Linked DNA regions of Macaca fascicularis. The main gene of each other region encodes a partner of the protein of the gene in region 4 in a complex. Links are inferred from orthologs where the notes say so. Each region holds a gene or a part of one and is shown on either strand. Other genes may lie near its edges.

Region 1 (3,500 bases), on a different chromosome or scaffold from region 4:
TTAATCCCATACTTCTTGCAGGCTTTGTTCATTTCTTCTTCTTCTTTTTTCTTTTGGTTTCTCTTCTCGCTTCATTTCATTCATTTGATCCTCAATTGCTGATACTCTTTCTTCCAGTTGATCGAGTCGGTTACTGAAGCTTGTGCATTTGTCACGTATTTCTCGTGTCATGGTTTTCATCTCTTTCATTTCGTTTATGACCTTCTCTGCATTAATTACTCTAGCTATCAATTCTTCCACTTTTTTTTCAAGATTTTTAGTTTCTTTGCGCTGGGTACGTAATTCCTCCTTTAGCTCTGAGAAGTTTGATGGACTGAAGCCTTCTTCTCTCATCTCGTCAAAGTCATTCTCCGTCCAGCTTTGATCCATTGCTGGCGATGAGCTGCACTCCTTTGCCGGGGGAGATGCGCTCTTATTTTTTGAATTTCCAGCTTTTCTGCCCTGCTTTTTCCCCATCTTTGTGGTTTTATCTGCCTCTGGTCTTTGATGATGGTGACGTACTGATGGGGTTTTGGTGTAGGTGTCCTTCCTGTTTGATAGTTTTCCTTCTAACAGTCAGGACCCTCAGCTGTAGGTCTGTTGGAGATTGCTTGAGGTCCACTCCAGACCCTGTTTGCCTGGGTATCAGCAGCAGAGGCTGCAGAAGATAGAATATTGCTGAACAGCAAGTGTACCTGTCTGATTCTTGCTTTGGAAGCTTCCTCTCAGGGGTGTACTCCACCCTGTGAGGTGTGGGGTGTCAGACTGCCCCTAGTGGGGGATGTCTCCCAGTTAGGCTACTCGGGGTCAGGGACCCACTTGAGCAGGCAGTCTGTCCCTTCTCAGATCTCAGCCTCCGTGTTGGGAGATCCACTGCTCTCTTCAAAGCTGTCAGACAGAGTCGTTTGCGTCTGCAGAGGTTTCTGCTGCTTTTCTTACTTGTTTTTTAAATAGCAACGTAATATTCCATTGTATGGCTGTACCTTCCTCCATTTAACCAATCTTCTACTGACTCTTAAGTTTCTTCTTAACTTTTTCTCATTTAACCAGTGCTGTGATGAATAATATTATGCCTGAAAAATAGGATAAATTCCTAGAAATAGTATTGCTGAGTCAAAAGCCTTACTGGTTTGTAAGTTTTATAGAAATTATTAAATTTTCCACAAGGGTTATACTAGTTTATACTTCCACCAGCAGTGTTTGAGAGTATCTTTTTATTATAACCTCACAATAGAGTGTTAAGCTTTTTGATCTTTGCTGATCAAAAACATGAGAAATTTTATCTCAGTATAATTTTATTTTGCATTTCTCAGTGATGTTGAACATCTTTCCAAAATTTTTTTAAAAAATTCATTAAACACTTTATAAATTATGATGTGGCCCTCTAATGGAGAAACCAGGAAGAAAATAGGTATTTCCAAATCATTGTTATATGTGCCACAATAGAAGTATGTATGAGAACAGTGGTCATGGAGAGAAGCAGAACATTATAGGCTCTTTTTGGAGATATCCTAGAAGATAAACTTTGATACAGCACAACATTTGACATCATATTTAAAGTTTTGCAAGTCTAGAAATGTGACATGTCATTAGATTCATAATGGGCTCTTCTTTAGGCTCTTAGGGATTAGATTCACACCTAATTCTCATAAGGCTGATACATACTGATCCATAATGAATTTTACTCCCAGTGACAGTAATATTTATATATGCCATAAAGGGCAATGTTTACAATGCCTTACAATGATCTGTGTTAAGAGTTTTCTATTGACCATTGATATGTTAGTTAATTAATACTTTTGAAGGTCCCATGTAATAAAAAGGTAGCATTTTATCTATATAATTGCAAAATTTTAAGCTTAATGTGACAAATACTAAATCTGAACATTTTAATTTTCCTTTTTTAAAAAATTATTTTCATCCACAGATGCTCATAGTGAAGTATTTCATTCATAGTATTGGTATACTTCCAGTTGTAGTATTAGCTATTTCTTATAAAAATGTAACTTTAGACCCCAAATAAAATCATTCTCTAATTTTCCAGGAGTCTCATGAACAGTGTATCCAGTGGATTGTTAAGTTTATTCATGGTCAGCATAGTCCTAAAAGAATTTCTTTTCTTTATGACTGCTTAGCAATGGCAGTTGAGACTGGTCTCCTTCCACCCAGGTACGTTTAATGGGTATGAGCAATCTGACGAATTTTCTTTTCTATATGTGATTGGAAATTGGTTGAGGTTGTTGTTGTGAAAAGATAAGAGAATGAAGAAGAAAGTGAGGTTCATCAAGTAATCCTTTATATAATACCTCAGGTTTTAGTTTTTAGGAGTCATAATCTTTGAATTATATAATGCTTGTGGGCTCAAAATCAGATGTTTCTGCCCAGGTGCTGAGATTAATCTCTTTGATTAGTTTGTAACACTTTACTTTTGCTGCATAACCTCAACACCTCATGGCTTAAAACAATAATACTCAGGTTTTAAAATTATTCATGGTTTTGGTGGTTGACTGGGCTTAAGAGGCACTTTTTCCTCAAGGTCTTAATGATTAATGATCGATGTAGCTGGGGCTGGAGCATGGCAAAAGCTTCCCCACTCAGATATCTGGTGGTTAGTTCCTGGCTGTCATCTGGAACCTCAGCTGAGATTATTAGCCAGAACCTCCACAGGCCCTCGCCTTGTGGCCTGAACTTTCTCACCTCATGGTGGAGCCTAACAGCAAGTGTGCAAAAGAGGGCTAGACAGAAATTGTGTCACCTTGTCTTAGAAGTCATACTGCATTCTTTCGGCCATAGTCTTAGGTCTGCCCACATCTAAGGAGTGAGAACATAGACTTTCCCCCTACCTCTCCTTGGGAGAAATGTCAGTGTCACATTTCAGAAGAAGATGTGGGATCAAAAATCTTGTTGCCACCCTCTTGGAAAAATCCAGTGTACCACAAGGTGATAGATGGTAAACATGTAACTGAAAGCTCCAGATACACTTCTTTCTAGTAAAATATAACGTAGTGAATATTATTTCATTCTTACTTTGTTTTTGATCTTTCATACAAGTAAAGAATGTAAAATGCTATACATATTTATAAGTGTACTTAGTAATAATGCACTTTTATGAAAGATATTTGAGAGGATAAATATAATACAGTCCATAGACTATGGCTATATTAGTCTGTCTCATGCTGCTAACAGAGACATACCTGAGACTGGGTAATTTATAAAGGAAAGAAGTTTAATTGACTCACAGTTCGGCATGGCTAGGGAGGCCTCAGGAAACTTAGAATCATGGCAAAAGGCACCTCATCACACAGGGCGGCGGGAGAGAGAATGGGTGCCCAACGAAGGGGGAATCCCCATGTGAAACCGTTAGATCTTGTGAGAACTAACTCACTATCATGAGAACAGGATCGGGGAAACTGTCCCCCATGATTTAAGTGGTTTTACTCATGACACATGGAGATTATGGGAACTACAATTCAAGATGAGATTTGTGTGAGTACACAGCCAAACCATATTGGTGGCTATTA
Region 2 (3,016 bases), on a different chromosome or scaffold from region 4:
GAGGTGGGAGAATCACTTGAACCCGGGAGGTGGAGGTTGCAGTGAGCCAAGATCGTGCCACTGCACTCCAGCCTGGGCAACAGAGCAAAACTCCCGTATCAAAAACAAAAAACATTTATTCCTTTTAGGCAAGGCATCATACTCAATATCATGAGGAAGAATAAAGATGTTGGTAACAATTTAGGCGGTGGTAGCTAGAAAAATCTCCCGGTTCTTTTCTTATGTAAAGGTGATTAGTGTTTCTTGCTAGTACAAAAAAATGTCCTTGACAAGACCCTTAAGTCACTGGGTCATATTTGGTCCCCTTAGCATGGTTGTAGCTAAGCTGTGAGGTCGTATTTTCCTGGCTGTGTCAGAGAATGTAATTTTCACTAGTACATTTTATGAGAAGCGCTCAGAACAGCATTTACCGTGAAGCAAGAAGCACCATGTAAATCAACTCTAGTTAATCTGAGAGATTGGAGTGTCTCCTTCATTGGGCTAGAGCAGTTCCTGTCTCTGCCCTATTGGATTTTTGCCTGTTTTTCCCCTTCCCATTGGAAGCTACCATTGTGTTGTATTGTATTTTTCATGTTATTTACTTTTGCTGTTTTTTTCTTTTTTTTTTCTGAGACAGAGTGTCACTGTCGCCCAGGCTGGAGTGCAGTGGCGCAATCTCAGCTCACTGCAACCTCCACCTCCTGGGTTCAAGTGATTCTCCTGCCTCAGCCTCCTAAATAGCTGGGACTACAGGTACGCACTACCACACCCAACTAATTTTTTGTATTTTTAGTAGAGACAGGCCTTCACCGTGTTAGCCAGGATGGTCTCAATCTCCTGACCTCATGATCCGCCTGCCTCGGCCTCCCAAAGTTCTGGGATTACAGGCAAGAGCCACCGTGACTGGCCTGCTCTGTTTCTTTAAAAATAAATTTTAAATTTTAAAATCTGCACTTAAAAATTCCTTATTTAGGTTAATATATAGTCCTTCACTCCCTGGGTCTACTTTGAAGACTGATCTTTTTTATTTTTATTCTGCGTTGTCTAGGTAGCACAGAGCTGACGGGCAGCACGAATCTGATCACACACTACAACTTGGAACAAGCCTATAATAAATTCTGTGGGAAGAAGGTGAAGGAGAAGCTAAGTAACTTCCTGCCTGACCTGCCAGGGATGATTGATTTGCCTGGTTCCCATGATAACAGCAGCCTCCGCTCTCTCATTGAGAAGCCCCCTATTCTCAGTAGCTCTTTTAATCCTATCACAGGGACCATGCTGGCCGGCTTCCGCCTCCACACTGGCCCGGTGAGTCCTGTTGGAGGAAGAAGGCAAATGGGGAGGCCTAAACATGGAGATGGTTTTTCTGTCCAAGTCTGTTCCTTCATAATGGAGCAGAACGGATGATAGGAGCAGGAGAGATTTCCTCCCTCTACTCACCTGGACCTTCCTTTGGTTCCTTCAGTTGCCAGAGCAGTGTCGTCTGATGCATATTCAGCCTCCCAAGAAGAAGAATAAGCACAAGCACAAACAGAGCCGTACCCAGGATCCTGTCCCCCCAGGTAAGAAGCAGTTCTATTCAAACCAAAAAAAAAAACCTGACCTGAATCTGGTTTGAACTTCCATAGGTAAACCCAGTTAAGTTCAGTATGGAGCTCTGGACTCCTAAATTCCCCTGAAGAAGAAACCAGTGTACTGTGGTCTCTTGGGACTTGGGACAGGGACTGTAGCAGCACCTCTGTATCCTTTTTGGCCATTTGGACAAAAGCAGTTGCCCCGACTTGGGATTTTCCTGTAGTCTTCAGTGGTTCATAACAGTAGAGGATTTTGAGCTTTATGGGTGATAGGTACCTAATGTCTCCTACAGAAACACCATCTGATTCAGATCACAAGAAGAAGAAAAAGAAAAAAGAAGAGGATCCTGAACGGAAAAGGAAGAAGAAAGAGAAGAAGAAAAAGAAGGTAGAGTAGAGGCCTATTGCCACAACCCAGTGATTTTCCCTAGATCTCACCCCTGTCCTAAATACCCTAAATAGTTCTTTGCCTCAAGTTGGACCCACAATTGAAAACCCAAGGCAGGTTACAGGTTTCTCCTGTACAGCCTGATCAAAGCCAAGGCTAGTTCCTAGTTGTTCTTACCCCTCCTTCTTTCTCTCCCAGAACCGGCATAGTCCAGACCACCCAGGTATGGGCAGCTCCCAAGCCAGCAGCAGCAGCAGCCTACGCTAACAGGACCACTGGACTCTTTGCCAGGATGGCTTTTCCTGCTGTACTGAACCTGCTGACAAAAGCTGCCTTCCAGGCTCTTGGACACTGCCTTGGGAGCATCCTGCAGCTGGGACAGAGACCAGCTCCTGTTGGGCTCAGTTGAGACTAAGTACATTAGGAGAGAGAGGGACATGCTTTTGTAGGCTCATCCCAGTTGGTTTTCTCATGGACATCTCCCAGGAAGCTTACAATTTTCTTCTCTCTCTGTTGTGCAATTTGTCTGATTTAGGACTTGTTCTGTTTTTTCTTAAAAAAAAATTACATTTATCAAATTGGCTGAAGTGTGACTGCTGTTAAGAGGTATGTTCTGTGAGTCAGGATTTAAGACAAGGCATTGCTAAGACTTGAGGGGATTTGGGTCTTGTTGTTACATTATGCAGGGAACCAACCAAAATGAAAAATGACCCAAGCTTACTAATACTCCACAGCAGACACAGAACACTCTGCCCGTTATGTTAAGAACCAGGCGCCTGGGTGATCTCAGGCTCCATCTGAAGAGCTGATCCAGGTAGGGCTCAACAGTGTATTCTAGGTCAATTTTGTGTTGAAACAGAATAGCCAACTGAAAACACATGGACAGTCACCCATGTATTTCAACAAGATTGGTTTCTTAGGTCAGAAGCCTGTGATCTTTTGAAATGAACTTCTGGCAAGCAAAGGTAAATGCTTCTCTTTTCTTTACAATAACTTTTGACCTGCTTCACTCCTTAGTTAAGACAATAAAGTTACTTAGCTGATGTGAAAACATTTCTAAAACAGCAACAAAATGTAA
Region 3 (3,500 bases), about 15 Mb from region 4:
CCGCTCTTTTAACCGGACAGGCTTGACGCCCGCCTCAGCCACCTGCCCGTCCAAGTTAACCGTGTAATCTCGAGGCCGGTACCTCTTCTTCTTTTTACTGTCCGAGCCCCCTGAGGAGGCAGCGTCACTGTCCGCCTTGGAGGAGTCTGGGGAGAAGCCCGCCCGGGACAGGAGGGGCTCGGCTGGGGACAGCCCTGCCTTGCAGCCCGGCCCCGCCAGCCGCTGGTGGCTTTCCGGCTGCTCAAGCCAGCGCACTGGGCTTTCCGCACTGGGCAGCAGCTCAAGCCGCCGTACAGGGGGTGTGGACGGCTGTGCCAGTGGAAGCGGTGACGGCACCTGTGTGGCATCGAGCGCCTGGGGCCGCGGTGAGGGGCTGGGCACGGAGCCCTTGGGTGCATACAAGCTCTGCTGCCGGGCAAAGGAGCCCTCATGCCGTGAGTTCCGAGGACTGAAAGAGCAGCGAGGGGGCCCCTTGGGGTGGGGAGGCCCCGGAGTCTCATCCACCCTGTCCAACTGCTGCAGCACCGAAGCCTTTGGCTGCAAGCAGGGTCCAGGGGGCTTGCCCAGGCCTGGGGAGCTGGTGTGCGGCCGCACAGCGTTGATGGGGATCTTGCCACTGTGCTTGTCGTTCTCGCCACGCTCCAGGCGGCCGCCCTCTGGGCCTGCATGCCCACTGCCATCCAGGGAGCCAGGGAAGCTCTCTGGACTCCCACTGATGCCATTGGTAGGGAGGGGGGATGAGTTGGGGACAAGGGGGTCGTGGCTAGCTTTGGAGACCTTAGGTGGTGGCCCTGGGTGGCCGAGGTCACGCTGGTCACCCCTGCGCTTGCGGCTGCCCAGCCTGTCCAGCCGCTGCCCGGGCAGCCTCTGGAGGTCATTGCGGCTCTTCAGGTCATGGATGCTCCTGGGCGGGCCAGCCGCCCCCACCTCCGGCCGGCAGTTGTGTGCACCCCCGTTGGCAGAGCCAGCGGCCCCCGCCAGCCCCCGCAGCGCTGCCTCATGCTGGTGCGCTGGCTCGATGAGCTTCTGCCAGCTCCGCAGCAGCTTCTTGGCCCGCTTGGCGAGCTCCTCGTTCTTGGTTTTCTTGCGGACGTCGTTGATGAGCTTCCCAAGTCGTGTTTCCTACAACCAGAAAGAGAGATGATGACATACTTTCGGGACAGGGACTTCCCCATGAGCTGAGCCAGAAATGGTGGGAAATGGCCCTGACAATGAAATGACCTGGTTCCCACTGAGCCCTAAACTGCCAGCCTCCCTGGCACAAAACTCCTGGGGATTTCCAGTCCTTTGTGACAATATAAATTCTCAAACCTAGTCCCCAGACCTTCAGAGTCCCAGGTGGCTTCTCAGCAGTGCTGTCCCGCAGGCTCCTGGTGCCAGGGGGCTGTCAAGGCCACTGTAAGGACACTGCCAGGGAGGCTTTCTGGATGAGAGGGTGCTGTGGCCAAGGCGGCAGCACAGAGGGTCTGCTTCAAGTGGAGGGTTGGGGACGGCGCCTCTCATTGGAGCCTCCCCCAAGCACACCTCTCCTGATGTCCCCATGTCCCCACATGCCCACGTGCCCATGAAGTGTGCTGGGCAGGTAGGATGGGATTAATGCCACTTGGTCACTGCAGTGGCCACAGGAGAGCAAGATCACGGGGCACAAGCTGTGAGGGCACACCGCCTCTCTTGGTCCTCTGAAGCAAAGACACACGCTCCTAGAAGCTGGGGAAGGAACTGGGTTGGTGCCGTCCCCTGTCCCCCATTCTGCACTCCCAAATGCTGGGGTCTGGGATACTCACCTCAAGTGCCTCTTTGGTAATGGGGTATTTCTCCAGGCTGGAGATGACTTCCAGCACCGCCACCATGTTCCGGATCTGTGGAAATAAAGAAAAAGCCATTTGTCAGGTTCCTGCCCTTCTCCCCTGGGAGGCAGGGACACGCTACCCCAGCCTGCTCCAGTCTCTCCCCAACCCCAGAGCAAGAGGAGCTGGCAGCACTGAAGCCCCCACTCCATGTAGTCTCCTAGCTGCTCCCCAGGCCAACCTGGCGCCCAGTGCTCATCCTCACCCGCTGTCCGACCTCCTCCAGTGTGTGGTGTGCGGTCTGCTCCAAACCCTCCAGTGTACATGGTACATATCCACCCACCTGCTGAAACCCAGGATGCTTGTGAAACAAGAGCTGCTCCTGATACTTAAAATGACCTCTACTCTGCCATCTGATGGGAGTGGGAGAGGAGACACTGAAGAATTCATCGAATAAAATCCACAAAGCTTAAAAGATCAATACATAGGCTGGGCGCGGGTGGCTCACGCCTGTGAATCCCAGCACTTTGGGAGGCCGACGAGGGCGGATCACGAGATCAGGAGTTTTGAGACCAGCCTGGCGAACACAGTGAAACCCCATCTGTACTAAAAATAAAAAAATTAGCTGGGTGTGCTGGCATGCGCCTGTAGTCCCAGCTACTCGGGAGGCTGAGGCATGAGAACTGCTTGAACCCGGGAGGCAGAGGTTGCAGTGAGCCAAGACCACGCCACTGCACTCCAGACTGGGTGACAGAGCGAGACTCCGTTAAAAAAAAAAAAATTCAATACATAATAAACCAGTCGATTTGAATCCAAAGACACCATAAAGAGAGCAGAAAGTCACAAAGTGGGAGAAGGCATAGACCACAAGCCCCAAGGAGCTGTATCTGGAACACACAGAGAATGCCTGTGCAGCAGTGCAGGTGACCAGGAACCCAGCGCACAGTGGCTACAAGACAGGAACAGGCACTGTGCAATGAAATGTCAGCGCTAATGCTCAGCTTCTCAGCTTTATCAATAATTAGGAAAACTCAAACTGAACCCACAAATGGATATATGATACACGCACCCCACTGACAATACTAGGTACTTCTGGGGGTACAGCCGACTTTGGGAACGGCTGGACTTTGTCTGGCAGAGTGAAACATGAACACAGCCTATGACCGAGTAATCCCACCCTTTTAGGATCTTGCTAGGAGCCACACCTTGTTCTAAGCACTTCCCACACATTACTAACTCCTTTAATTGTTAAAACAAGAATTCCTACCGCTCAACCGCCACCTCCAGCAGCTACAGGTTTCTGGTGGGCTGGCTGGCAGGCGGGAACCCAGGGGCCCTGAGGAAACCACAGTGAGTAGATTACACAACTCCCCCCCACCCCCACCCCAACATGATAAAGGAGTTAAGCAGGCACATGATACAAATTAAAACAGCGTAAAAGGGCACACAAGGAAATGGGCATCTCTGACCCAGCCACTGTAGCATTACCTTGCATTTTTTTCCAAAAATATCCCTTGTGTATGCAGGCGTATACATCTACACTTGTCACATATTTCAAAACCAAACTGACCGTGGTTCTTGCCTTTTCTGACTTAACATCAGCAATGTCCAGCCTCAAACAGAGCCCCTCATTTGGCTCACCATCCCTTCCAGAGTGGGGAAGGCCCGACTTGAATGTTGTGGGACACTTAGGCACTTTCTGTTCGCCATTAC
Region 4 (4,194 bases):
TCCTGTCTCAAAAAAAATAAAAATAAAAACGGAAGAGCACAACATCCATTGCATTAAACTGGCTTTTGGAGGAGGAGGTGGGAATGGGGTTGGAAGTAGGAATACTCAACGGGGTCCGTGACTTCGCTTACAGGAGCCTCAGTTTCCCCACTCTCGGACATTAGAAAATGGAAGAGGGGGAGGGATTGCATTGGGAGTTATACCTGATGTAAATGACGAGTTGATGGGTGCTGACGAGTTGATGGGTGCAGCACGCCAACATGGCACAAGTATACATATGTAACAAACCTGCACGTTATGCACATGTACCCCAGAACTTAAAGTACAATAAAAATAAATAAATTAATTAAAAAAAAAAAAAGAGGCCGGGCGCGGTGGCTCAAGCCTGTAATCCCAGCACTTTGGGAGGCCGAGGCGGGTGGATCATGAGGTCAGGAGATCGAGACTATCCTGGCTAACATGGTGAAACCCCGTCTCTACTAAAAATACAAAAAAAAACTAGCCGGGCGTGGTGGCGGGCGCCTGTAGTCTCAGCTACTTGGGAGGCTGAGGCGGGAGAATGGCGTGAACCCGGGAGGTGGAGCTTGCAGTGAGCCGAGATCACGCCACTGCACTCCAGCCTGGGAGACACAGCGAGACTCCGTCTCAGAAAAAAAAAAAAAAAGAAAGAAAGAAAGAAAATGGAAGAAAGCCTGGGCAAGGGGGCTCACGCTTGTAATCCCAGCACTCTGGGAGGCCGAGACGGGCGGATCAGGAGGTCAGGAGATCGAGACCACCCTGGCCAACGTGGTGAAACCCCGTCTATACCAAAAAATACAAAAATTAGCCGGGCGTGGTGGCGGGAGCCTGTAGTCCCAGTTACTCGGGAGGCTGAGGCAGGAGGATTGCTTGAACCCAGGAGGCGGAGGTTACAACGAGCCAAGATCGCGCCATTGCATTCCAGCCTGGGCAACAGAGCGAGACTCCGTTTTGGGGGGAAGAAATAAAGGACAAAAATATGGAACGCTTCACGAATTTGCGTGTCATCCTTGCGCAGGGGCCATGCTAATCTTCTCTGTATCGTTCCAATTTTAGTATATGTGCTGCCGAAGCGAGCACGACCCGTTGGGTCTACCACCAGCTATTTATAGTCCCCGGAGGAAATTTCTTTACACATACGGCGACTTGTCTCCACTGCTCTAGAGATTCAACCTCTATTTGTATTAGTCCAATGTGTCACGCAACTAACGCAGTTATTAACTGGAGTTGAGAAAGTGCTCGTTATTCTACCAAATATAGCTACAGTGGCTGCTGGGAATTACTGGAAATGCTCGTATGCAAATATCCCCGGAAGCGGGGCGGAGCCTGAGCCGCACCGCCCTCCCAGAAGTCTTTGGGAGGCGGCGGCGCGACTCAGGCGACTGGTTGGTGCCGGGGAAGATGGCCGCGCCTTAGCCGAGGCGCTAGGGAAGTTCGCATAGCGGACGCCCGCTGGGCTTGGTGCACGGGCCGGCCAGGTGAGTGCAGGGCTGCGGGGGCCCGGCGAGGGCGGACGGACCCCTTACCGTGTCACTGGACCCCAGGGAACGCGGCGCGGGTGTGGCGGGCCCTGCGGGGTCAGGGGGCGTGGCCGGGAGCAAAGGCTGCTGGGTAGGCGGCCCGGGGCTCCGGGTTTGCGGCGGAAACTCGCGGGAGGCCTGAGGCCCGCGGGGCGGGGGTCGGGGCGGGGCCTAAGGAGAGTTTGGGGCGGGGTTGAAGGCGCTTGGTTGGATTGTGGGGGGGGGCCTGGAGAGGGAATAGTGTCCCTGGGGTGGAGCCTGGGGACTGGGGGTCTGTAGAGGCAGGGCCTGGAGACTGGGGGTTATCGGTACGGGGCCTGGAGAGGGAATAGGGTCCCTGGGGTGGAGACTGGGGACTGCGGATTTATAGGGGTCTGGAGAGGGTATAGGGTCTCTGGAGATCGGGGGTTATAGGGGCGGTTCCTGGAGAGGCTGAGGCGTCCCTGGGATGAAGCCTGGTAGTTGGGGTTATAGGGGCAGGACCTGGAGAGGTTCTGGGGTCCCTAGGGTGGAACCCGGAGATTTGGGGTTATGGGGGCGGGGCCGGGAGAGGCTACGGGTCCCTAGGATGAAGCCTGGTGTTTGGAGGCGGTAGGGGAAGGGCCTGGAGAGTACATGGGGTCCCCGGAGTGGAGTCTGGGGACTGGGGAGTCTTAGGGGTGAGGCCTGGAGAGCTGGGGGCATTGGAGGCTGGACCTGAACAGTACATGGGACCCCTACGGTGAAGCCAGAGAATTTCGGGTGAGGCCGTAGGCTCAAGGGGTGAATTGAAGTGTGGGAAGCAAAGAGTATCAGCGGCGGGGCTGAAAGACTTTTAGGGGCTTGCGGCGGATCCTTGGGGGTCTGGGGCAGACCCTGAAGAAGTAGGGGGCTGGAGTTAGGGCTTGAGGAAAATGGGGCTGGTGGTCATTCCAGTCTCACTGGGCTTTTGCCTCTGAAGCAAAACAGCCTCCAGATGTCAGGTGCTTAGAAAACCCCGAGGAAATGCTCCCTCTGTTCCCTGTCACACTCAGCCCCCGCCTCGGCCACAGGCATTCCCTGTCACACTCAGCAAGCCCCTTAGCCCCAGCACGCCTGCCCCGCCTTGGCCACAGGGAACCACCCTACTGCTTGCCTGTCTGTGGGTTCTTCCTTCGGGAGAGACCCAGGGTCCGCCTGCCGCCCCCATCATCACTCACCTGGGCCAGTGCAGACCCTCCGCCGCATCTGTCAGCTGTGCCCTTGGCCCCCATGGTCCCTTCCCCAGACAGCCAGAGGGGTCCTGGTGAAACCCAAATAGGTCCCAGCCCTCCCGGGCTCCCACCTTGCTGAGGGTAGAAGCCCACCAGCCCAGGACTGGCCCTGACCTCTCCACGTTCCCCCTCGGCCCCAGCCCCATGGACAGCCGGGAACGCCCAGGCTCTGTCTCGCCTCTGGGCCTTTGCATCTGCCGTTCCCTCCACCGCAGGCCTCCATCGTTTACCCACTTCCGGCCTGGCATGCCCTGGGTGCTCAGCCAACATAGCTGACCCGCCACACCTCCCTCCCGCAGGAGCTGGTGACTGCCCTCATGTGTGACTTGCGGCGGCCAGCGGCAGGTGGGATGATGGACTTGGCCTACGTCTGTGAGTGGGAGAAATGGTCCAAGAGCACCCACTGCCCGTCGGTGCCCCTGGCCTGCGCCTGGTCTTGCCGAAATCTCATCGCCTTCACCATGGACCTGCGCAGCGACGACCAGGGTGTGTCCCCCCCGCCACCCGCTTCCCCTCCCGGCCGCACGGTGTCCTGCCCTGTTCCCCAGGTGCCCGGCACGCTGCCACGCGGGGACTCGGTCTCTCAGGCCTCCCCTCACTCTTCCCCAGCCCTCCTCTGTAACTTGGGTGAGAGCCTCAGCCTTCTGGGGGTACAGAGGGTGGATTCAGTGCTCCCCAAACCTGGGGCCGGGAGACATGAGATCGCCCCGTGTGTGGGATCGAGTGGGGCTGGGGCGGTGGTTGACGGAGGCTTGTTGGAGACACGTGCCCCAGTTTTCCAGACAGCATGTGTCACTGTTTGGTTTTTGAAAGGTACGTGGTGGCTATGCCCATCTTCTCTCCATTGTTCGAGTAATAGGCACTCATAATAGGTGGTCATTAGAGAAAATTAGAAAACCACAGAAAATTGGAATCAAATCAGGGCGATAAAAGGCCCCCATTACCTGCTGTGGAGAGGCTCCCACTGTTCATGTTTTGGGGTCATTTTCTTCTAATCTGGTTTTAAAGACATGGTCATGGCGCCTCACGGGCCTGCTCAGTTCCTGCGGGGGGACAGCCCGTTCCCTGAGCTGTCGACCCGACTGACAGCAGCTCTGTGACCTCCCCGGGGTGGGACACGCACTGGCTTCCCTGGAGCCTGCCCAGGGTCATCATCCTCGCCTCCAGGCCATGGCGCCAGGCCGTGCTGACCATGTCCCGTCCCCACAGATCTGACCCGTATGATCCACATCCTGGACACAGAGCACCCCTGGGACCTGCACTCCATCCCCTCAGACCACCGCGAGGCCATCACCTGCCTGGAGTGGGATCAGTCAGGTGAGGCCCCGGTCCCACGTGGCTGGGGGCGGCGACCCGGATCCCGGAGCAGGGGGCCCGTGTTCCCCAGTCAGTCTGGAGTCCGGCGCTGGGTCTGGAGCCCCTGG
Region 5 (4,114 bases), on a different chromosome or scaffold from region 4:
ACACAGCCGTTGCTATGAGTGAATTAATTAATTAATTAATTTATTTATTTATCTTTGAGACGGAGTCTTGCTCTGTCGCCCAGGCTGGAGTGCAGTGGCCGGATCTCAGCTCACTGCAAGCTCCGCCTCCCGGATTTACACCATTCTCCTGCCTCAGCCTCCCGAGTAGCTGGGACTACAGGCGCCTGCCACCTTGCCCGGCTAGTTTCTTGTATTTTTTAGTAGAGACGGGGTTTCACCGTGTTAGCCAGGATAGTCTCGATCTCCTGACCTCGTGATCCGCCCATCTCGGCCTCCCAAAGTGCTGGGATTACAGGCTTGAGCCACCGCGCAGGGCCGCTATGAGTGAGTTTATTTAACACGAATTTCTGAAAGACTTGTCAACTCTGGGTGCCCAGGAGTCAAGTTTAGCACCTCCAAAAAGAGCAGAGGATGAGACCATGAAATGAAAGGACCACAGGTACGACTGCCTCATGGGAGTCAGGCAGTCCCCGACCGTCTTTTATAATAATGTAGACCATTATGTGATTCCCTCAAAGTCTTAAAAACCACTTCATAGAAGCTTCTCATTGCTGCTTGAAAAACATCATGCCCAGGGCCGGGCACGGTGGCTCACGTCTATAATCTCAGCACTTTGGGAGGCCGAGGTGGGCAGATCTATTGAAGTCAGGAGTTCGAGACCAGCCTCGCCAACATAGCGAAACCCTGTCTGTACTAAAAATACAAAAATTAGCCGGGCGAGGTGGCACACGCCTGTAATCTTAGCTATTCGGTAGACTGAGGCAGGAGAATATCTTGAACCCGAGAGGCGGAGGTTGTAGTCAGCCGAGATTGCGACAATGCACTCCAGTCTGGGCAACAGAGCGAGACTCGTCTCAAAAAAAGAGGAAAGACGGAAGGAAGGAAGGAAGGAAGGAAGGAAGGAAGGAAGGAAGGAAGGAAGGAAGGAAGGAAGGGAGGGAGGGAGGGAGGGAGGGAGGGAGGGAGGGAGGGAGGGAAAGAAAGAAAGAAAAAACAAAACATTAGGCCCAGGAGAATCAGACTGCGGAAGGAAGGAAAAGAAAGAAAAAACAAAACATTAGGCCCAGGAGAATCAGACTGCATTGCACTCCCTGTTCTCAGTTCAGCCCTTGCTCCCAGGGTTTGGACCCAAAAGCCCTCGCTGGCCCAGCAGATGGCGCCGGTGCCCGCAGTGCGCCCCTCCGGGCGCAAAGGGGGCGCCCTCGCCGGGCCTCTTCTTCCTCTCCTGGATGACTCTTCCGCCTTCCGAGCCCGCCTCCTCGCCACGCCCCTGCGTCAGCGCGCTCAGCGCGTGCGCCGGCGGCGGGGCTGTGAGGAAAATGGCTGCGTCTTCGAGTGGTGAGAAGGAGAAAGAGAGGCTGGGAGGCGGCTTGGGAGTGGCAAGTGGTAACAGCACACGAGAGCGGCTACTGTCTGCGCTTGAGGATTTGGAGGTCCTGTCTAGGTAATGCTGCGATCCTGAGAGCCGGGCTGGAGCTAGGCCGGGGGACTGACCCCCGGAGCCGGCCGGCCCAGCGTTTGTGCTCGTTCTCGGGGTTCGGCGGGGAGGGCCAGCTCGGGAGTTTCGGGTGCACCAGGGTCACGGACGTGGGGTCCGCAGTCTTCCAGCACTCTGGACGGCGGTTTTTCCCGTTAGAGGGAATTTTAGTAATGATAAGAACTCGCGCGGTCTGAGCCCCTTCGTCCACAGCCAGCCACTTAACATTTATGGAACGCCCCTTGGGTGCCAAGCACTAGGGAGACAGTAGTGCAGGGTAGGCTGAATGCCGGCTGTCGAGAGAGAGAGACAGATGTGTAAACTGCCTTGAAGCCTGTTTTTATTAGAGCGCTGCGCTGCGGGGTACTGGAGCACAGGGGCTAGGCACCTTTTCTGGTTGTAATCAGGGCAGGCCCTCTGAAGAAACGGCTGTTTGGGAAGCGTGAGCTTGCCAGACTCACTAGGCAGCACAGGTAGATGGAACAGCAAGTGCAAAAAGCCTGGCTTGGTGGAGTTGCAAGTTTTGTATCAGAGATAGGAGATGAAATTAAATGTCATTCTTTATATTCTGTCACCTTTCATGATAAGTCAAGTTGAAGCCTTCCTTGACTCCCTCCCATTGACGTGGATGGTAAATTATCTTGGTTCTACCTCCTAAAATGTTGCTCACATTTGTCCTCTCGTTCCTACCCCACTGTTCATAACTACTCTTAAATGCAGCCTCCCAGTTTTAATTGCCTCATGCTTCTGCACTGTATCCTTTTATATTGGCCAAGATCAGTTTTAAAAGGCATGTTATATTACTTTTCTGCAGAAAAATGATATAAAACCTACCTCATTGGTAGATTTGCGTTGTCCAGTGAGGTAAAGTTCAAATTCTTTAGTCAGGCTTCCACATCTTCAATGCCATTCCCAATCTTCCCCCGATTTGGTGAATGATTCATATATCCTTCAGATTCCAGCCCAAATGTCACTTTTTCTGTAGCCAACATTCTTTGACAACTTTAGAATAAATCTTATCTGTTGTATTTTAAAATATACCTGATATAATCAGCACTTTATCTTTGGTGTAAATTTAGTCCTTGCCATAGTATTGCTACCAAGTTACCAGGTCAGCACAATATTTAATGATGGAAGAAAACCCTAAAACAAATAGACTCCAGAAATTAAATGACTTATGTGTTTGATCCACTGTTTAAAATAAACTGTATTATGGCCGGGTGTGGTGGCTCACGCCTGTAATCCCAACACTTTGGGAGGCCGAGGCGAGCGGATCATTGGAATTTCTTCACAGAATGAAGCTGCTCTGGTGGTGTGACTGGCTTCCAGAAAAGTCTCATGTGCTCACTCAGACATAGTTATGTGTGCTGATTCTGTGATCTGTGTAATTTGTCAGTCTCTGAATGTAATTTGTGTCTGGCTTGCATTTATGGAAATGAGAAGAAAATTCACGAATGTACCTTACATATTTTTAGGTTGAGCCTCTTGGCTTTAAAAAATAGTGGATTTATAACTTAGGATCTTTTTTTTTTTTCTATTAACCTGATTATGTACCCTTTCAGGATATTTATTACTTTGTAAAATGTAATGCAAGGAGACAGTCTTAAACAATTGAAACACAGGTTGTAGTCTAAACGTTTTTCTTAACCCGTTTGTAACTGAAAACTCACGGAATCATGTTGATAGGAGTCTTGAGGTTTCCACACCAGCCTGTTAATTCTCTTTACCTGAAAAGTGTATTACCACTAATAATGTAGGCTCTAACCCCTATGGAAATTTTATTTCTATGGGGAATTGTGGCTGGATTCTAATGCAGTATGCCAGGAATGCACCTTCCTTGTAGCAGGACAGGGCTCTTACTTCCACATCTTTAACCAGAGAGTGAGTATGGGCCTTCCTTTGGCCTCTTTTTCACAAATGGGGAGGACAGAGGTTTCTACTTCGTCTTGGACTGTTACAGAACATGACTAAGTCTTAGAGACTTCTACCTCCCCTCTACTCCTGTGTCAGAGACTTCTACCTCACCTGTACTCCTGTGCCTATGGCAAGCCTTGTAAAGCCTTCTGTGGACTCATACTCCCAGATTTGCAAGAACAGAGGAAGGCTTATCCCACATCTCCTACCATAGCCCCACTCCAGTCAGCACCACCCCTGCCCCACCTGAAACCAGCTTTTACTTAGACTAGAGGTTCTCAACAGTTTGTGTCTCAGTGGCATACACGAAAAAGTTTACGTAACATGCTGTTTTCATACACTGTTGATCCATCAGCAAGTCCTGATAGCTCTACCTCCAAAAGATATCTGAAATCTGTCTATGTTTCTCCCATCACCATTACTAAGTCCTGGAGGCTATGACCTAGTCAAAACCAGTCATTTTTTGCCTGGAACACTACAAAAACCACCTGTTCTGGCCCTTTTACAGTCTATTTACCAAATCGCTCAGCAGTTTTTAAAAGTGTAAATCAGGTCATGCCTTTTCCCTGTTTAAAATGATCCAGTGGCTTTTCATTGAATATGGAACGAAACATTAATCTTTACCATAACTGTAAGGTCCTACATAATCTTACCCCTAGCCACCTGGCTGCTATATCCTCACTTTGCTTTCCTCTCCCCAGT
Region 6 (4,221 bases), on a different chromosome or scaffold from region 4:
CCACTATCATTAGGTCAAAGAGTTGACGACGCGGATGACACGTCAGTAAACAAAACAAAGCAAAAAGAGTTACTCCTTTAGCTCCCCGAGGAAACTGCAGACCGCGTCCCATAGTCCGCAGGGGTACCATAGTCGGGCCTTCCGGGCTGGGCTGGTCCCTGCCGAGGCTACGCAGCCCGGCCACCCCCAGACCCAGAGGAGGCCAACGCCACGCCTGCCCGCCGGACCCTCCCCCTCGGATCTCAGGGCCCAGTGCTGCGTCCGCCCGCCCCTCACCTCCGGCTCGGGGCGCTCCGAGGCCATCACACAAGCCCTCCCGCGCCGGCCCGGGCCCGTGTGTTCCACTCTTGACCCCTGACCTGGCTACCTCGGCACCCGGAAGGAACAGGAAGTGGGTGGGAGGGCCGAGTTCCAGTTTTCTGATTGGTGGACGAAGCCTTCTCAGAGGCGTTTGCTGACAGGAAACCGGAAGTGGAAATCGTTGCAGTCGCCTCGGCCGCCGCAATGCAGGTGAGAGCCGCGTTGGGAGTGCTAGCGGCTGGCCAGCTTCGGCTACAGGGAGCCAGAGTGGGCTGGCTAAGGAGAATGAAGAGTTGGGACTGAGAAAAGAGGGCAGAACCCACGGCTGATAAGGGAACGTGGGTTGGGGGGCGAGGTTAATTGGAGAGGGAGCGGCGCAGATGAGAGGTGGGGGTGGAGCTCGCCTGACAGAAGGCGGTCGGGCTAAATCCGGAGGGAGGAGGCAGCACTGACTTGCTTGGCGTGGGAAAGGATTAGGTTGTAATACGGGGAGGCCGAGATGCAGTCCAAGGAAGACGGCTCAGGAGGTGGTGGGTTGGCTCAGGCCCTGTCCTAAGCTGCTGGATGGAGGCTGTTGGATGCCGATATAGCAGGGGATCTAATTGGAAAGAAGCCCAAGCAGTGAGGGAATTGTGGGCCGCGGTGTCCGAAAGCTAAGCAGCTTGTAATGTGAGGCCATGGTGGAACCCAGGATCAAGTTCCTGTCAGGCACCTTAGCAGGTTTGCAAGACAGTTTTGCATCACTCTTCCCAGCCTGTGCCCTATAGTTGTTAAGGGTGAAGAAATGGAATAAAACAGGATACCACCGATGGGAAGGAAATGCTTTGCAGACCCCCGGCATTTTAATTTGTTTGTTCAGTGCTTAGAAGCATGTGCGGTTTTGGTTTTCATTTGTCACTTAGTTTCCTGCAGCTGGTAGTCTCAAGAAATGTTATTGGGTTGACCGAGCTTGTGAAAGAGGCACGGGAATATTGACACAGAGATAGATGGGTGCATATTAATTCAGCGAGGAGAAGGTTGAAACATGAAATGATGAGAGCAGATGGAAAGCTGGAGTGGTTGGTGGGGGGAGGGAAAGAGGAGAGCAGGGCTGGTATTCAGAGAAGTCTTCATGAGTAGGCAGATTTCCCAGAGACTGACAAGAGAGCCAGGCTCACAAATGCTAGGATGGAGGAAGCTGGAGTGCATGTGCTACAGAGGTGCACATGAGATAATGATCTGGCATTAGGTTTGTCGAAAATGTCTCAATGAGGGAGTGTAGGGTGTACCTAATACAGAGAAAAACCAGGCATAGATTAGGAGCGGATGGGAAAAAGGAATCAGTTGGTGGAAGTACTTGGGTCAGGCAAACGGTTGAAAGGTCTCAGGGTTGATGCTGTCTATAACCCAAATACCACAGATAGGAAACAACCTGGTTATCCTATGCCAATGAGATCCTGTTACCTGACTGGTGTTTGCACACCATCTCCTTGGCTTTTCAGCCCTCCTTTCTATGTGTCATACTCGTTTATCTGGGTAACCAACCTGTTCCTATTGGTGCAGAGAGAGGAGAAGCAGCTTGAGGCATCATTAGATGCACTGCTGAGTCAAGTGGCTGATCTGAAGAACTCACTGGGAAGTTTCATTTGCAAGTTGGAGAACGAGTATGGCCGGCTGACCTGGTAAGGGTTGCCAGGGCAAGCTAGGGAGGGCTTATGGGTGGGGGGGCCTAGCCTTCTGATGAATAGGACACTTCTAATGATGTAACCATTTATCAGTTTACAAACATCTTTTGATTTGGAAAGAGCTGGGTTTCGTAACATTTAGCAAGTGGCTTCCATGGCAAGGAAGTAGAGAAATGCTCGGTTTCCTAACCCAAGTTCATTATAGCTTTCAATTCTTACCCTTTGACTTCTCTGGTGAGGAGGTCCTCCTATTACAGCTCTATTTGTGCTGGATCTCTTGCCACAAATATGGCTGAGTCCTTTAGATCCAACCTACTCTGAAGTGTGGATCCTATTTCCAGGCTGGAAAGAAGGATTTTACCGGGTTTCTGAAGTTTTAGTTATAACAGTATAGTCCTATTTTGCCACTGTTCCTCACCTCATTCAAACAATGAACTGGATTTTTTCTACATCTGTTTCATAAACTGAAACTATGTCCCTCTTTCATAACCCTGTCATCCTTGTTAGTTTCTTCCCACTTAGGCTAGTCATAGGGCTATGAGACTTTTGGGGATAAATCCGAGTGTTCCTAGCCTGAAGGAACTAGGACTATTTTACTAAGAACCACCCAAGGAAGGGGTGGAACATTCTGACACCTGCTTACTGCCAACAGGCCATCTGTCCTGGACAGCTTTGCCTTGCTTTCTGGACAGTTGAACACTCTGAACAAGGTCTTGAAGCATGAAAAAACACCGCTGTTCCGTAACCAGGTCATCATCCCTCTGGTGTTGTCTCCAGACCGAGATGAAGATCTCATGGTAAGAGCAGAAAAAGAATACAACTTGGGAAATTAAGGAGTTTTTTAGGCTTCTTTACTATTTAGGGAAATTAAGTTCTTAGCTGAGAACTTAGAAATAATTTTGGAGGCCTTGCTTTTTGTTCTTCTGAAGGTGGGAGAGCCACTCCCAAATAGTGTTGTAATAACCTGAGGGGTATGTCACCAAGGCTGGTACCTTCCTTCTCCAACATCTGTCTCAAGCCACAAAGTCTGCCCTTTGGTGACTTTGTCTGTTTCAGTCTTTGAAACGTGGCAGACAGTGATAGTTTAATTTGCCTCTAGGTCTGGTAGAGATAGGGATGTGAGAAGACACAAAAAATGAAGGCTGGAGTAAAGGAGATTGTGTCCTAGGAAACTAGATATTATGTCTTAGGTTGTATTTTCCTTGAAAATGCACTGTTTGCCTGTGGATGGGACTGTATATCAGGCCAGATAGAATCTTCTTGGAGTGCATAGTAGGATCAATAAAATCTGTGTGTTGCAGCGGCAGACTGAAGGACGGGTGCCCGTTTTCAGCCATGAGGTAGTCCCTGACCATCTGAGAACCAAGCCTGACCCTGAGGTGGAAGAACAGGAGAAGCAACTGACGACAGATGCTGCCCGCATTGGTGCAGATGCAGCCCAGGTTGGACTGAGTCACTGCCTTGCTGCCCCATCCCCATCCCATCATGAGAAGCTAGGCATTACCATTCCTGTCTAGTAGGGATGCATAGTTGGTTGCACCTAAGCTGCTTCTGGCAGAACCCAAGGAATAAATTTGTCCATATCGTTTCCTAGTTACCCTAATCTCTGCACAAATTTGTGTGTTACAGAAGCAGATCCAGAGCTTGAATAAAATGTGTTCAAACCTTCTGGAGAAAATCAGCAAAGAGGAGCGAGAATCAGAGAGTGGAGGTATGGTGGACTGGTGGCAAAACAGAGAAGGAGAGGTATATAAGATCACTGGAATGGGAATGGTTGTTTCGAGAGTAGTGAAGTTAGGACACAAGAGTGAACTGCTTTAGGGTTTGCATCCATTCTGTTAGCCTTTTGTATTTAAGGCCAACCCTGAAGCAGTGGAGGAAATGGGCAAAGTAAGAAGAGAGAATTCTGAGATAGGCTTGGGGGTCCTCTGGCTCTTTTTATGGGCTGTGAGGGAGTCTAGATGCTGCTGAATTCAGAACTCTAAACCCTGGCACTCATACTGGTCTTCCAGCTGCCACGTTCAGTCCTGCATCAGAAACATACTTCAGGATCCCCACTTACTTTTTCTTCAGGTCTCCGGCCAAACAAGCAGACCTTTAACCCTACAGACACTAATGCCTTGGTGGCAGCTGTTGCCTTTGGGAAAGGACTGTCTAACTGGAGACCTTCAGGCAGCAGTGGTCCTGGCCAGCCAGGCCAGCCAGGAGCTGGGACGATCCTTGCAGGAACCTCAGGATTACAGCAGGTGCAGATGGC
Region 7 (2,971 bases), on a different chromosome or scaffold from region 4:
TTTAGCATCTTTTGAAGATATTTGTTTGAAACATTTTTTACTGTGGTGATTTTCGAATTCTGTCATTCTGCATTTATTAGTTTGGAATTCGATTGTAAGGCAGTACATTCCCTTGTTTTCTATTTATTATTTTATTAAAGAAATTTACATCCATTTAGTATTTTATCCTGTGAATTAGAATTATGTATTTTCTTGCTCTGAGTATTCTAGATTTGGCCATTGGGAGTCCCTTCAAGTTGGTTCCTGAATACTTTTGATCGTCCCAATAATTTTTAGCACTTTTTCTTCTGGCACTACGTAATGTTCCAGGCTCATCTTGTACTTTCCCTCTCTTATCCCTGAATCACCCTTTTCTCCAAGGAAACCTGCTCCTTGGATACCACAATCTGGACATTGTGTGTTCATTAGTACCACAGTGTCATTGCTTCTAGGCCCTCTCAGTACACAAAGCTCAAGAACTCTATGTTTGTATGTGTATCCATGCACACATGTATACATCTGTTTATCCTGTCTACCTATATTAAAAGCCCTAAGTACATACTAATGTTTTCAATACCAGCTCAGTAACACAGGATTCATTCTAGCCTTTTTCCTTTCCTTGTCGAAATTTGGCTGTCCTTATCCACAGTATATTTACTTGTCCAATCCTAGAGTATATCTAATTTCAGAGTTGGTATATCCCTGTGGACAAGAAGAGTATAATGTATGTGCATAGTTCTCTTTCAAACCAACTCACTTTTAAATGAAAGTTGTCTTTTTATCACTATTGATGGAAAAACAAAGAACTATCAATTAAACACAGAATTAGTAAAATATGTTCATGTTCTTCACGTTGGAAACCACTAGAAGGGAATAGCATGGTTTGTCCCTACATTTTCACTCTGCTTACCAGTTACTGTGTTGTGTGGTCCTGAGCAAGTTTAAATTTAATCTTTCTGAACTTAAACCTTCTCACTTTCGAAAATATTGCTGAACACTGACCTTTGATGACCAATCAGGGAAAACACCCTATGCTGCCAGTGTGTACTAAGTTAAAGAAATGGTAGGCTACAAGATCATTTTTAAGAGAATAACTTAATTAGACCTTGGCATTATTTACTTAAATTATGTTGTTCATTTACTTATAAACTTAAACCCAGGTACCCTCAGTGTTTACACATGTTAGAGCTGCTCCAATACGAACACTTCCGAAAGGAGCTGGTGAATGCTCAGTGTGCGAAATTCATTGATGAACAGCAGATTCTACATTGGCAGCACTATTCCCGGAAGCGGATGCGCCTTCAGCAAGCCTTGGCAGAGCAGCAACAGCAAAATAACACATCGGGAAAATGAAAAACCGGATACAGATGAGGCTCTCAATACATGTATATAATGTATTTCTTTTGTACAGTGAAGACAAAAAATGAAAACTCTTCCTATCTACCTTTATTATGGTAGCCCCTAGAACCTTTAGTGTGCTTTTTAATCCAACTTTTTATTGTTAATAGACTATTTCTTTTAAACCTGAATTGGTCTACTTTGATTTCCCTGTGGATTTGTAAGGTGTTTTCTTTTGTATGCATTTAGCATAGTCAGCTGATTAAGAATGGAAAAGTTAGGTGCTTTAGACCAAATGAGGCACTGGGGCATGGGGTAGGGGTGGGCCACCAAGTATACTGAATTCTAAGGCTAGCTCTTCCTGACATATAGTAGCGCAAGGCCATCTCCTGGAACCTTACTGTCTCTCAGATCAACTACTCTACCACTCTTATCTATGTAGTGAGAGTAGCGGAGTCAGTGACCTCTTGAAATCACAGGATAGGAACTGCATAAAGGTTCTCAAATTCTGCAGGACAGGAAATCCCTGTATTACCTGCTTTGCAAGGTGGCTTTAAGAATCACTGTGGCCTCATTTGACCTAGTCATGGCAGGACAACTAGTGGTTAATTACTAATTGGACTCTTGACTTTAGAACAAACATGAGGAGCCTCAAATACTTGTGCTCATTTGGGAAAACTAACATTGATTTGGGAGGTACCACATACCAGGTGCTATGTTAAGTGCTTCCTTGAATTCTCATTTTATTCTCAGAACCTTGTTTACAGAAGAGAAAACTGAGGTTTGGATGGGGCGGGTAACTTGCCTGTGGTTACACAGCTAGTAAGTGGTAGAATCAGTGTGACTGACTCCAGCTTGGAGTTCTTCCCACCACTGGGTTACACAGTCTTTCCAGCCCCTCTCCGCCACCTGCCTAATCCCAAGTAAAGCACATTGAGAGAGCCGCAAAACGAACTGCCTCTAGTGCTCAGGATCGGTTTCTTCATGAACAAAACAAAACTGCCTGAATTAAGCAGAGGCTGGATTAGAGGTAATATGCTTCCTTCAGTGGTGAGGTTAGGTTCTACGTTCCAAAATCAAAGAAGGGGTTTCAGGAATATCAGTTGCTTTGCAGATGCAGATAATTTAAAATAAAAGATCCTGATCTTTTGAAAGATTTGGAAGGTGTGCTCTGCGCCTTTAGGAGTTTTTAGGTATTTCCGTCACCTTCAATGATACATTCCTTTGAGCCTTTACTGCTACTTCTGAAGACTTGTTTATATCTTAAAAATATCCATATATTACAGGCAAACTAAAGGTTCATGGGCATTTTAATAGCACTCTACTGTTTAGACACATGCCAGTTTTTTAACCTCATTTATTGCTAACATGTATTCAAAGCAATATACAGTTTATTGATACTAGAACAAATCAGGAAATCAAGACATGATTGCCATCATAAAATCTTAATCTTCAGAGAACAACATTTCCACCAGGTTGGCCTGAAGACACTCAGATTCTACCAGTTTTTGAGGCTGTAAGAGAAGAACAGTCAAATCTTCACTACTCCTATAAAACGTTATTAGGAGTGGAATAGGTTCTGCCTTGAATGACACTAATCTTTGAACACAGAAATTATGCAATTCAGAAACTATCAACTAGTTATAACAAGTTT

Evidence for each region.
Region 1: MED16 (region 4) and MED23 share a complex: the UniProt entries of both Homo sapiens proteins name them as parts of the mediator complex. The link is inferred for Macaca fascicularis from reciprocal best matches to the Homo sapiens genes MED16 and MED23.
Region 2: MED16 (region 4) and MED19 share a complex: the UniProt entries of both Homo sapiens proteins name them as parts of the mediator complex. The link is inferred for Macaca fascicularis from reciprocal best matches to the Homo sapiens genes MED16 and MED19.
Region 3: MED16 (region 4) and MED26 share a complex: the UniProt entries of both Homo sapiens proteins name them as parts of the mediator complex. The link is inferred for Macaca fascicularis from reciprocal best matches to the Homo sapiens genes MED16 and MED26.
Region 5: MED16 (region 4) and MED4 share a complex: the UniProt entries of both Homo sapiens proteins name them as parts of the mediator complex. The link is inferred for Macaca fascicularis from reciprocal best matches to the Homo sapiens genes MED16 and MED4.
Region 6: MED16 (region 4) and MED8 share a complex: the UniProt entries of both Homo sapiens proteins name them as parts of the mediator complex. The link is inferred for Macaca fascicularis from reciprocal best matches to the Homo sapiens genes MED16 and MED8.
Region 7: MED16 (region 4) and MED31 share a complex: the UniProt entries of both Homo sapiens proteins name them as parts of the mediator complex. The link is inferred for Macaca fascicularis from reciprocal best matches to the Homo sapiens genes MED16 and MED31.

What each region holds. Positions count from the first base shown.
Region 1 is NC_088378.1:35,595,750-35,599,249, reverse strand, and holds part of MED23 (mediator of RNA polymerase II transcription subunit 23), read left to right. Parts: intron 1-2,023; coding exon 2,024-2,148; intron 2,149-3,500. UniProt on the Homo sapiens protein: Required for transcriptional activation subsequent to the assembly of the pre-initiation complex. Component of the Mediator complex, a coactivator involved in the regulated transcription of nearly all RNA polymerase II-dependent genes.
Region 2 is NC_088388.1:15,900,230-15,903,245, forward strand, and holds the end of MED19 (mediator of RNA polymerase II transcription subunit 19), read left to right. Parts: intron 1-1,027; coding exon 1,028-1,284; intron 1,285-1,441; coding exon 1,442-1,538; intron 1,539-1,843; coding exon 1,844-1,938; intron 1,939-2,136; coding exon 2,137-2,205; 3' UTR 2,206-2,516; downstream 2,517-3,016. UniProt on the Homo sapiens protein: Component of the Mediator complex, a coactivator involved in the regulated transcription of nearly all RNA polymerase II-dependent genes.
Region 3 is NC_088393.1:16,912,935-16,916,434, forward strand, and holds part of MED26 (mediator of RNA polymerase II transcription subunit 26), read right to left. Parts: intron 1,860-3,500; coding exon 1,785-1,859; intron 1,123-1,784; coding exon 1-1,122. UniProt on the Homo sapiens protein: Component of the Mediator complex, a coactivator involved in the regulated transcription of nearly all RNA polymerase II-dependent genes.
Region 4 is NC_088393.1:1,454,786-1,458,979, reverse strand, and holds the start of MED16 (mediator of RNA polymerase II transcription subunit 16), read left to right. Parts: upstream 1-1,394; 5' UTR 1,395-1,496; intron 1,497-1,624; exon of another isoform or gene 1,625-2,279; intron 2,280-3,069; 5' UTR 3,070-3,087; coding exon 3,088-3,256; intron 3,257-3,979; coding exon 3,980-4,087; intron 4,088-4,194. UniProt on the Homo sapiens protein: Component of the Mediator complex, a coactivator involved in the regulated transcription of nearly all RNA polymerase II-dependent genes.
Region 5 is NC_088391.1:27,212,684-27,216,797, reverse strand, and holds the start of MED4 (mediator of RNA polymerase II transcription subunit 4), read left to right. Parts: upstream 1-1,314; 5' UTR 1,315-1,340; coding exon 1,341-1,465; intron 1,466-4,114. UniProt on the Homo sapiens protein: Component of the Mediator complex, a coactivator involved in the regulated transcription of nearly all RNA polymerase II-dependent genes.
Region 6 is NC_088375.1:191,388,016-191,392,236, forward strand, and holds the start of MED8 (mediator of RNA polymerase II transcription subunit 8), read left to right. Parts: upstream 1-1,421; 5' UTR 1,422-1,605; coding exon 1,606-1,961; intron 1,962-2,616; coding exon 2,617-2,761; intron 2,762-3,265; coding exon 3,266-3,406; intron 3,407-3,593; coding exon 3,594-3,675; intron 3,676-4,037; coding exon 4,038-4,221. Other genes in the region: KICSTOR complex protein SZT2, read right to left, coding at 277-303. UniProt on the Homo sapiens protein: Component of the Mediator complex, a coactivator involved in the regulated transcription of nearly all RNA polymerase II-dependent genes.
Region 7 is NC_088390.1:6,686,294-6,689,264, reverse strand, and holds the end of MED31 (mediator of RNA polymerase II transcription subunit 31), read left to right. Parts: intron 1-1,139; coding exon 1,140-1,332; 3' UTR 1,333-2,471; downstream 2,472-2,971. Other genes in the region: TXNDC17 (thioredoxin domain-containing protein 17), read right to left, coding at 2,763-2,831. UniProt on the Homo sapiens protein: Component of the Mediator complex, a coactivator involved in the regulated transcription of nearly all RNA polymerase II-dependent genes.